Macaca mulatta: one gene and its partner. The main gene of each other region encodes a partner of the protein of the gene in region 2 in a complex. Links are inferred from orthologs where the notes say so. Each region holds a gene or a part of one and is shown on either strand. Other genes may lie near its edges.

Region 1 (5,633 bases), on a different chromosome or scaffold from region 2:
CTAAAAATGAAAGTTAAGGGTTGGGTAAAAGCCAGCTGTAGTGCTTGGGGTTTAACATGGGCCAAATCCCTGGCTCTGATTTCTCTTTACTTTTTTAGACCCTCTTTGTTACTTTTAAGAATTTAGAAACTGTTATTCAGGTTTTTAGTTATCCGTTCAAGTACCAAGCTTGCCACGTTATGGAAAATGTATCCCATAATCCAAGATTTCATGTTTGTTTATGAGGGCATGAGGACATTGAGGGCATGACAATGAACTTCTAAACTCATTCGTCTTTTAGACAATGATCATCCACCACTTAAGTTCTCCATCTCAGCTAACATTTGACTTCAAACCTAGCCTCATCCATCTCACAATTTTCACGTGGTAAATATTGGTTCCTTTCCTTATGGCCACTCCCTCCTTGTTCCCTCTCCACTCTTCTGAGATTCTTTTTCTCCCACAATCATCCATTCTCCAGCAGTGAAAACCTTTTGTCATCATTCTATCTTGTGCAGCAGAAGCTACATCCTGCCAGAAGGAAGTTTTCTTTCCCTTTCTACCTTATCCAGTCCTAGGTACTAAGGGGCATCTAGGAAAGGGTAAATTGTACTGCAAAGGGGGCTTCAGTCCTGCGGTAACTATTGCCTACCTGCAGTCAGACACCTTAATGACTATTTGGGTTTCTGCCATTACCTAGTGAACTTTTAACCTGAAAGCTGCCAAAAGAAAACTATAAATTAAATAGCTTTCTGAAAAAGACGGTTTAGCAAAATAATTTTAAGGTGTCTCAGAAGTTGCTTCTTTTTTCCTGCACCTCAGCGCCTAGGATCCGCCTTTTCCTCCCCTACTCGCCTAAGAGCTTCAGAGAGAAACTGGCCCAATTACAAAGCAAACCAGAAACCTTTGTAATACTTCCGTGTTCAGCTCACATTGTCTTCAGCCTTTACTTGCAGTTATCACGTATCTGCATGGTAAAAATTTTACAAGAAAACGGGGGGCGGGGGTGATGGTGGAGAAAGCTCCAAACAGAAGGAAGTTGCAAAAGGGTGCTCTTTTGTGTTCAGGGTGGGCCGTCACCACACGAAGTCCCAGATCAACATCACGATCAACTTGGAAATCTGCACACGGAAACGAAAGAGCTGTACACTTACAGTACTTTCAGTTTATGTTAGTGTTATCTGACACTAAATGAGCTAATGATCTAGTATGTGCCCATAGCACTCAACTTCTGGTACCTATTGTTACTACCTATAATTTCCAAGTATTTCCTCTGCAGTACTAACATAACATTAAAGATTGGTAGTATGGTGCTGAGAAATCCAATAATCCCCCTTTTGAATGAAATTACAACTCATTTACTGAAAACATGCGTGGCTCTTAAAAGAGCCTTTGGGATTAGGTGTAAAGATGCTTACTTGGCAAAGTTACTTGGAACTGGTGTACTTGGTGACGGCCTTGGTGCCCTCCGACACGGCGTGCTTGGCCAGCTCCCCCGGAAGCAGCAGGCGCACGGCCGTCTGGATCTCCCTGGAAGTGATGGTCGAGCGCTTGTTGTAGTGCGCCAGGCGGGAAGCCTCGCCGGCGATGCGCTCGAAGATGTCGTTGACGAAGGAATTCATGATCCCCATAGCCTTGGAAGAGATGCCGGTGTCGGGGTGGACCTGCTTCAGCACCTTGTACACATACACGGAATAGCTCTCTTTGCGGCTGCGCTTGCGCTTCTTCCCGTCCTTCTTCTGCGCCTTAGTCACCGCCTTCTTGGAGCCCTTCTTTGGGGCAGGAGCAGACTTGGTAGGCTCAGGCATAGCAACGTTAATAATTACAACACTGTCGCAAACACCTGAGAAAATAATCACTCCCACCGATGCCCCGTTCATTTATAGATGCGGTATTCAAATGAGGTTAATCAGATTTCGTTTATGATTGGATTAATTTTTGTGTGTCGTCACAAATGCCAATGTAAACGACACTTAAAAGTCTACCTTTTCATTGGCTATTTCATTACTTTACTTTTACCCAATCAGAAAGCCCAGACCAGACTACCCGAGGCTACTATAAATAGTCGTCTTTAGACAAGTCAGCTGTGCACTTCTCTTGGAGCAGTTGTTTTTGAGATCACACTTTTTATTAGCGTTGTGGTGTCAGAACGTATACTGAAAGATACTTTAGGAGAGCTCACGTTCTCTTTTCTTCCTCTAACAAATTATAGGACTCGTTGCATACAGAAGTCATGGTAATTGGGATATCCCTGGAAGTCTGGCAGTTTTGCGTTTGGGAAGTCATCTATGCAAATGCTACATTTAAGGACCAAGTATTTTCTGCAGTGTCAATTTCTAATTTTTAGTTGTGGCAGTGGTTGAAATAGTGTACTATGCCACCTGTGTCGAGACGTACTCCTCTGCACTCCTTCATTGCTTGCCATAGTCTGTAGGGAGCCAGCACGGAAATTGAGTGTTCTCTATTCGGAACTCATACGTCCCAGCCTAGAAGCCCGCGAAAATCCCGACTTTTTTTCCCATGCTATTTGCAGGCCAGATCTCGCTAAGTGTTAAGTACTACGGAGGTCGAAATGGGTTTTAACTCCAGTATTCGAAAACGCAATAAAAGCTCAATGACGCGGCTGCACTCCTGCTTGGCCGACGGAACGCGAAATGACCCCCTGGCCAAAAACGGCTCCTCTCTCCCGACTTTGTTCCCGGGAGACCCGCCCCTCAATAGCGGCGTTTTCCCGGCCACACCCCCTGATAGTGTAACAGCTCTTTTACTGAAAGCGGTGGGTGGCTCTGAAAAGAGCCTTTGGGTTGTGTTGAGCTTCTAAGCAGTTGGCCAAAGGAACTTCCTACTTTTTCTTGGCTGCCGCCTTCTTTGGCTTGGCTGCCTTGGGCTTGGCGGTCTTTGGTTTAGCCGCCTTGGGTTTCACTGCTTTGGCCTTCGCTGGGCTCTTGGGCGCTTTTTTTGGCTTGGCTGCTTTAGCCTTTTTCGGGCTTTTCGCTTTTTTGGCTCCAGCAGCCGCAGCCGGCTTCTTCGCCTTCTTTGGGGTCTTCTTGGCGCTCTTCTTAGGGGTGGCTGCCCCCGTCGCCTTCTTGGGCTTCTTCGCCGCTCCTGTAGGCTTCTTGGCTTTGGCCGCGCCTGCCTTTTTAGCTTTAGGCTTGGCTTCCCCGGAGGCCGCCTTCTTGTTGAGTTTGAAAGAACCCGATGCGCCGGTGCCCTTGGTCTGCACCAGAGTGCCCTTGCTCACCAGGCTCTTGAGACCCAGCTTGATGCGGCTGTTGTTCTTCTCCACGTCATAGCCAGCGGCTGCCAGCGCTTTCTTGAGAGCGGCCAAAGATACACCGCTGCGCTCCTTGGAGGCGGCAACAGCCTTAGTAATGAGCTCGGACACGGGGGGCCCAGACGCTTTGCGCTTAGCCGCACCTGCGGACTTGCGAGCCTTCTTCTTCACGGGTGTTTTCTCGGCTGGGGCCGGAGCAGCGGGCGCGGCAGGCGCAGTCTCGGACATGTTGAAGGCAGGCGTGAGAGAGAGAGCAATTCGAGCCGGAAGCAGAGGCACTGGCCGGGACTCGGGCCGCGGCGCTGCGCCCGCCCGTTTATATAGGGCGGAGCTGCGCCGTGATTGGTGCGCTGTCCAGCCCGCCTCGCTGGCAGCCGCAGAGTGTCCTCTCGGATCCCGAGTTGTGTTTGTTACACCTCAAAAAAAGCCAAAAATATAAAAATTGTCTGCACCGAACTACCCGGTTTTTCTCAGATAATGATCCCCGAACCCTCAGGCTTCACGCAGATCTCAAATTATGAGGAAAGCACAAAGCCTTGTGCCAAAAACTTGCAATATTTCCCGCCGTGCTTGGCAAATTTCAACTCAGAGAAACAAAACTTTCTATTTTCTTCGTAAATTATAAACCGATCTTTAACTGTGGAGTTTTCTGACCTCTCAAATATGATTCTCCAAGTGGTTAGCTTCTGATATATCCAAAAAGCATGCCACTGGCATTAAGATTTTTATTACAAATCTGCACTTAAGTGAGGGAAGTAACACAGGCTCCTCGGAGAGTCCTGCCTATTGAGCCGAGGGCATTTGAGTTCATCAAACTGGTTTAGTTTAATGCTAAACAAATTATTCCTCATTTGACATTAAGTTTTGGACCCCTGGGACATCAATCTATGCAGCCGTGGTTTTACATCTGTCCGCTATATCTGAGTTTTAAAACAATTCCTTTGGATAATTCTTTCCCTTTCTGCTCCCAAGGGTTGGGGGCGGGGCTGTTGCTTCTCTCTTCTCTGGACAACTGCTCCATGGATTGAGATACCTTGAATTCAGGGTATTTGGGAACGAAGGGAAGTCCAAAATATACTCAGGGTACAGAGTTGAAAAAAGATTAATTTTCGAATGTGATGTTCATAAAGTCACTGGAAGTGGAGGTGCACTTTTCTTTAAAGCATTTGTCTGCAGCCTTGCTGAGTGCTTTTGGCATATGCTTCAGAACCAAATTGCAATAAAGTAGCTTAGAGCTGGAATTCAAACATTGATAATAAGGGAAAATAAATAAGAACTGTATATTGAAACATATGTACTCCCATTATTAGAGAAGCCCAGCCGCTATTATTACTGAATAGTTGAGGAATGACTAGTCCACTCACCATGTATGGTTTCAATCCCCCTGAAGACTGTATCCCAACGCTTCGCAGAGCGCAATAGAAAGAAAAATAAGTGACATGTAGTGATTAAATGACAAGTTCAAATTTCGATCTCAGAAGCAGAGCTTTGAGAGTCTATCTAAGCTATTATAAATCATTGCCCTCTGAAAACATCCTTTGAACAATGTCTGAGTAAATCTCTTTAGGTAGTTGCCCAACCAAGAAGAGTGTATGTAGGTTGGCAATGAAAGCCCAACTAAAAGAATTATTTCTGAATAACGGTATGGCTGGAACAGTATGGGTGGAACTACAAGCCACTTATCATGGAAACAAAATAAAATTTTGCCCAATGCTATAAGTTGATATGATACTGTTCTGTGGACGTGGCTGATTGTAATATGGCGTTGGATATCACTTTAAATGTTAATTTCATTGCCCAAAATCTCCAGACAAAAATTCTGCTACTGAAATAAAGAGAATATAGAATTTTGATATAACACGAGTGAAATGTGTCAACACAATACTGTTTAATGTTGAATTTGGTATAAAAGTGATGTAAATTATCAATGTTTTTAATATCTTCATGTGTAAATAAATAAAATTTAATTATTGCACAGCAGTGCAAAAGTAAATATGTCCTTTGGTGTTTATTGAAATAAAAAGGGAGATGGATAAATCTCCAAAACATACTAGGGAAACTGATTATATGGGCATTTGATTCCAGAATGGTAACATTATACCTATTTAATGACAACAAAAACCACTCCTGTAAATGGCTGAAAGTTACACAACACATGGAAGTTTGCTTTCACATGCCTCACTTTATCCAGTGTATTCCTCATGGCTAGGAAGGAGTTAAACTCCAAATTCTGTGGTCTTTCAGTTTCCACTGCTTGCCCCCTTACACTGTGGTGTGTTTTCTTTTCTTTCTCTCTTTTTTTTTTTTTTTTTTTGAGACAGAGTCTCACTATGTCACCTAGGCTGGAGTGCAATGGCGGGATCTCTGTTCACTGCAACCA
Region 2 (5,602 bases):
CAAGACTGGTCCTCAGCTTTGTAGCCAATGTTCTTGCTTTCTCTTTTCATATTGAAAATGTAACAAGCACATATGGTAAGAAATTCAAACAACATAAAATGGTGTGAAAAATTTCCTCCTGACTTAGACTGAGGTCCCTGCCTCTCGGTTTCTTGAGGATCTCTCCAGAAATGCAGTTCTTTCAGCTTCCAGCACTCAACCTGGTTGTGACAGAATATATGAAGAACTGATTTGACTCAGGAAAAATAACGAATCCAACTCACAGGAGAAAGAAGTACAAACCAGAAACCAATTTCAAATTACAAGGACCAGAATACTCATGTTGGCTGGCCAGTGCATTCTCTCCCCTTGAAGAAAGTCCACATGGGAAGCCAAATTGCTACTAGAGTGCTGGATGAGACTGAAATGAGAGCAAGAGAAGTCAGATGGCATAAGCACTCACTGGTAGTTCAATAACACTACTGCACCCAGCTCCACCAAGAGGGCTGAGGCACAACAGCAGCCAGGCCTGGAGACACTAGCTCTTTACCTCCCCCTTTCTGAAGATTCCAAGTAGCTCTCTTCCTACCTAAAAGCAGAGATGCTTCTGATGTTAACAACGGGAATTAACTTGCAAATAGAACTGCATTCACTAAAGTCATCACCCCACCCAACTTTCAGTAAAACACAGTTCTGGCCCTTATTTAGGAAAAAAATCTTACTGCTGCCCTAGGTAACAAAACCATCTGAACAATCCCAGCTCCTTACCTTGGCCAGCCCTGCCCGATGAGCTCCTTGGGATTCAATGTAGGCAATGTATCTACTGAAGTTTCGGAACTCTTCCATAGTTGGATAAAAGGTCATTATCCTAGCACTGGGATTCAGAGTTTCAGACTCAGAAGCCATTTTCCCTCCTTTTTGAGGTCCCTTTAGTCAGACAGGAATCTGAAGAAACACATTAAGAGCATAAAATAATATAAAAATTAAAATTAAGTGCTGGAAACATCAATGCTGAAAACAGTAAAAGATAATATAGAAATTCAGAAGATGCAGTTAAGACTTCACACCTGGAATCTGCCTCTAGAAAAGTTATTTAGGGGCGAGGAACAGTGGCTCACGCCTGTAATCCCAGCTACTCGGGAGGCTGAGGCTGGAAAATCGCTTGAACCCGGGAGGCTGAGGCTGCAGTGAGCCAACATTGTGCCATTGCACTCCAGATTGGGCAACAAGAGCAAAACGCCGTCTCAAACAAAAAAAAAAAAAAAGGAAAGAAAAGTTATTTAGGGTGGGGCTGTGGTGGCTCAAGCCTGTAATCCCAGCACTTTGGGAGACAGAGGTGGGCGGATCGCTTGAATTCAGGAGTTTGAGATTAGACTGGGCAACATAGTGAGACCCTGTCTCAAAAAATTTTAAAACATCACAACAAGAAGTGATTTAAATAAACTAGAAATACAGATCGAAAAGGTTCTGTTTAAAAAGAAAGTGATGTATCAAAACTGCATGGATTCAAACCTTATTTCAACAGAGATATTGTTATTGCAACAGGATTGCTCTTGAAAAAAAAAAACAAACAAAATTGTTCAGCTAAAAAAAGGAAATTAATTTGGTTATTGGTCCTATCTAATAGTACAGCTAAAATGTCCATATTTTACCCTTATCCTTTCAAGCTACTCCCTTATTAACACCTTGCTAATCACTTTTCAGAGTATTAAACATAATATACTACAACTTGAAAGCCACGCACAGCTGGGTGTGGTGGCTCACGCCTGTAATCCCAGCACTTTGGGAGGCCAAAGCTCCTTCCTAGGGCACAGCTAAACCGGATACCTAATAAAAGTTAAGTGGCTACAAGATAACAAAACTTAAGGGTTCAAAAGTACTTTGATATTAGTAACATGATTTTAAAACCTTTGATATTAGTAACATAATTTTAAAACCCTAAAGTGAAACTGTTCTATCTAAACTAAGATGCAGTTTCAGGAGTACTTAATGAAATCAAGTTACAAACAAGTTCCATTGCACTGTACCCAGAACTCAAAGGACAAAATTTAAACTAGCAATACAGGGCAAACTTCATAACTGACTAGAGAAAGCCAAATAAATACTTTGTTTTTAGATGAGAACTTCAGCTAAATGGGTGCATCCCCACAGCTCGGTAACACAATAGACCATCTCAACTGAAAAAAGACAAAGCATACCAGTGAAAACAGGCCATTCTAGAAGGAACACTAGTATGTCCTTTCCTTTACCCACCCTCCTCACTCAGGGTGCAGCAGCAGTTCTGTACCCCGCTATCTGGGGCCCAAAGCTATGGCGGTTCAGCTCCAAGAGTCTCTTTGAGAGCTGGAGAGCTCAGAAAGGAGAAAACTGCCTCCAATCTACCAGAAATCTGGTTACAGCCCTGGGAGCAGAACTGTGTAAGGTAGGAGAGAAGGCAAATCCAGTTACCCGTATCTCCTAGGCTTCCTTTCCATCGAAAATAAGGCGTGTTTCTAAACAGGCGCTTTTCATGAACCTGGCAGAAAGTTTGCATGGCAGGTATACTGTTATCCCTGTTTTACATACCAGGAAATTTGCCCACAGCCCACTCTTAAGTGCACCTTCCACTGCCCTATACTGCTTACATCCTCATCTCCATCTGGATTAAGTCCTTTGCAAGGGCAGTTCCAAGTATGGAGAAACCCGAAGTTTATTTAATTTTGAAGACCCTCTTAAAAAGAAAAATGAATCCAAAATATCTTACTTTTGCAAATTTTATAAAAACATACAGTCATGTGAATACAATGTTGGGGCCCTTCCCCGGGCCTTCAAAGGGGCCCTAATGGGCTTCATCAGCCTCTGGCCCAATTCATCTTTGTATGCCTAGAACAATGCATGGCACAGAGTAGGCAATCGGTAACTGTTGAAAAACTGATTTCCTCACCCTCACCTCAATTGTTCATCCCTTCTTCAACCCTACGATTCCCTTCCCCCAATCTATTCCCTGGGGAAAGCTCCCGTTTCATGACACCTTCCCTCCCAATCAGTAACAAAGCCTAGTGATTCAAGAACACCGGCTCCAAAGTCACAACTCTGAATACAGATCCGGTCTCTGCCGTCTATTAGCTGTGTGACCTTGGCTGTGTGAGTTGACTGAGTCTCAGTTTCTCCACCTGTAAAATGGGGATCCCAACCCCCTGCCCTGCAGGGTCGCTGTGATTAGCTCAGATGATGCAAGCGAAACACTAAGCACTAGGCCCGGTACTTAACCACTCAATAAAGCTAGTTGTTGCTAACGAACCCCTCGGACTCCTGCACCCTTCCCTCGCAGCCGCTCCCGCGAACATCACTCCAAAGGCAGCGCACCCTGCTCCCCAAGGTCCCCGAACCTCACCGCGCACAGGTTCGGCCCCTCCCGGCCCCGCCGCCTTAGCGAGTAAAGCTCCGCCGCAGGAAGAAGAAAATAAGGCCCAGAGGACCCGCCCCCCTCTCCCGACGTCCATTGGCCCTGAAGATTGGAAAAGGCCAATCTCAGAACACATTCTGGAAGCTCCTTCTCCTATTGGCCGAGAAACATGCCGATCACTCACCGCTGGAAGAACCACCCCCACCGCCCCTCCCCCACAAAATTCACGGTCACGGCTACAGCAGCAAAGCGCCTCAAGAATTCCAAAACCCTATAGTTCTCACCTACAGCCCAAAGCCCCGCCAGGGCTTAGGCTCAGCTCCTGCTGTCGCCACTGGCCGATCCTACTGCTTTTCCAGCAGGCGAAGGACGAAACTCCGCCTCCTCTAAAGTCTGCATCTGCGCAGCCGCACAGAGTCAACCAATTCAAGGGTGGCTGCAAACCATACACCAGCCAATGAGCACGCGCCGCAGCCACCTCCCAGTCCCGACCTCAGTGTGCTCAGCCTATGAGCGCCGGCTCGGGCTGTTGCCAGGAGGAAACGCTGTACCACTCGGGACTGCGGCCAGTGAGCCTCTAGCTGGATCGCGAAGCTGGCCAATCATAGGCGGGCTCCTGGCCACCCATAACTAATCAGGGTTGAAAGAAGCTAGTACCTAGAAGTGGGCCGGTCGGGTAGATGGGTAAGGGCGGTGAGGTTACTACAGGATGTCGCTAACGAAAGGATGGGCCAAAGTTTTCTTGGGATGAGTATCCTCTTGGCCTAACGTGGAAATGTGTCGGGGCCTTTAGGGGCAGCTTCCGAGCTCAGGGAGTGCTGAAAAGATGACCGTCTTGTCCCGGTTTGTCTTGGGCGTCTCAGTTTTCAAAACAAAATCCTGCGTCCTTGGAAACCCCTCATTCGCTGTCAAGTCTGGACAGGGAAGGGAGGCTGCCCTGAGGGTCATTAGGACAGACCCTGAGGGAGGCTGTCCTTAGGGTCATTAAAAAGCAGTTCCTGGCCGGGCGTGGTCGCTCACGCGCGTAATTCCAGCACTTTGGGAGGCCGAGGCGGGCAGATCACCTGAAACCGGCAGTTTGAGACCGGCCTGACAAACATGGAGAAACCCCCGTCTCTACTAAAAAAAAAAAAAAAAAAAAAAAATACAAAATTAGCCGGGCGTGGTGGTGCATGCCTGTAGTCCCAGCTACTCGGGAGGCTGAGGCATTAGAATCGCTTGAACCCGGGAGGCGGAGGTTGCGGTGAGCCGAGATCGAGCCATTGCACTCCAACCTGGGCAACAAGAGTGAAACTCCGTCTCAAAAAAAAAAAAAAAAAAATCATTTCCTCAGTGAGCGGGGATTTGGGGGATCATTAGGAGCAGCTCTTGGGGCGGAGAGGGGGGCATCCTGGGAATCAGAAGAGGCACTTCTGGGGGGCTGGAGGGGGAGGGGGCTTCCTAGAATCATTAGGAGCGATTCCTGAGGGGTAGTGAGTCGCCTTAAGGAGTTCCCAGAATTGTCAAGGGTGATGGGGAAGGTCAAGTAGGAAAGTAAAATACCCACAACCAGAGTCATAAAAAATGTACAAAATTACCATGGGTGAGTAATGGGGTAGTGCCATGGAAAGAGCTATATGGAGTCAGGCCTGTGTTCAAAACTAGTAACTTTGCTGAGCCTGGGAGTTCACATCAATACAATGGAAAAAATAATGCCTCGCGGATTTTGTAAAGAGAAGAGTTAATGAATGTTGCCAAAAAGAACATATTACATAGAATGCTATGGACTTACGGTATGGACCAATCATCATTTCTGCATCAGGCTGGGTACATGCCTACTGAAAAAAAAAAGTGTTAAAAAAAAAGTTTCAAAAACAGAAATGACTGTTTCAAAAAGAATGGCCGTTGGCTACACAGCCACAAGTCTTTCACAACAATTACAGGGTTTTTCTCCCTTACCCAGTAAGGTAATCGACAGTATTAGATAATAGATTATACTGAGTAGCTCACAAAAGTGCCGAGTCTGAAGAATCCAACTTACAGGACACATAAAGAAAACCGGTAGAATTCATCCACCACCGTCTTTGCTGCTGCCACTAAGCACAAGATATTGCAGGTTGCTTCACAGACTCCACTGTCCTGTACACGGATACAGTCGCTAGCACTACTGTTACTGTGTTCCATAAACTGGATTTTGCTGTATTTCCCGGTGCTGCCAGATGATTTCCAAGGCCCCTCTACTGTGTATCACTAGCTTCT

What was found.
Region 1: the proteins of KDM4A (region 2) and H1-4 are in contact, whole or in part, in a crystal structure (PDB 6H8P), measured with the Homo sapiens proteins. The link is inferred for Macaca mulatta from reciprocal best matches to the Homo sapiens genes KDM4A and H1-4. Residues at the interface, in NP_055478.2 of Homo sapiens: Ile71, Asn86, Ala134, Asp135, Asn137, Thr167, Ile168, Glu169, Gly170, Val171, Tyr175, Tyr177, Glu190, Asp191, Ser196, His240, Lys241, Ser288, Thr289, Asn290, Asp311, Met312, Val313; in NP_005312.1 of Homo sapiens: Ala24, Arg25, Lys26, Ser27, Ala28, Gly29.

Annotation. Positions count from the first base shown.
Region 1 is NC_133409.1:156,951,816-156,957,448, forward strand, and holds the start of H1-4 (histone H1.4), read right to left. Parts: upstream 3,545-5,633; 5' UTR 3,482-3,544; coding exon 2,822-3,481; 3' UTR 1,788-2,821; coding exon of another isoform or gene 1,407-1,787; 3' UTR 1,398-1,406; intron 1,101-1,397; 3' UTR 1-1,100. Other genes in the region: H2BC5 (histone H2B type 1-D), read right to left, coding at 1,407-1,787. UniProt on the Homo sapiens protein: Histone H1 protein binds to linker DNA between nucleosomes forming the macromolecular structure known as the chromatin fiber. Histones H1 are necessary for the condensation of nucleosome chains into higher-order structured fibers.
Region 2 is NC_133406.1:197,013,874-197,019,475, forward strand, and holds the start of KDM4A (lysine-specific demethylase 4A), read right to left. Parts: upstream 3,768-5,602; 5' UTR 3,649-3,767; intron 3,397-3,648; exon of another isoform or gene 3,353-3,396; intron 925-3,352; 5' UTR 886-924; coding exon 748-885; intron 401-747; exon of another isoform or gene 264-400; intron 1-263. UniProt on the Homo sapiens protein: Histone demethylase that specifically demethylates 'Lys-9' and 'Lys-36' residues of histone H3, thereby playing a central role in histone code. Does not demethylate histone H3 'Lys-4', H3 'Lys-27' nor H4 'Lys-20'.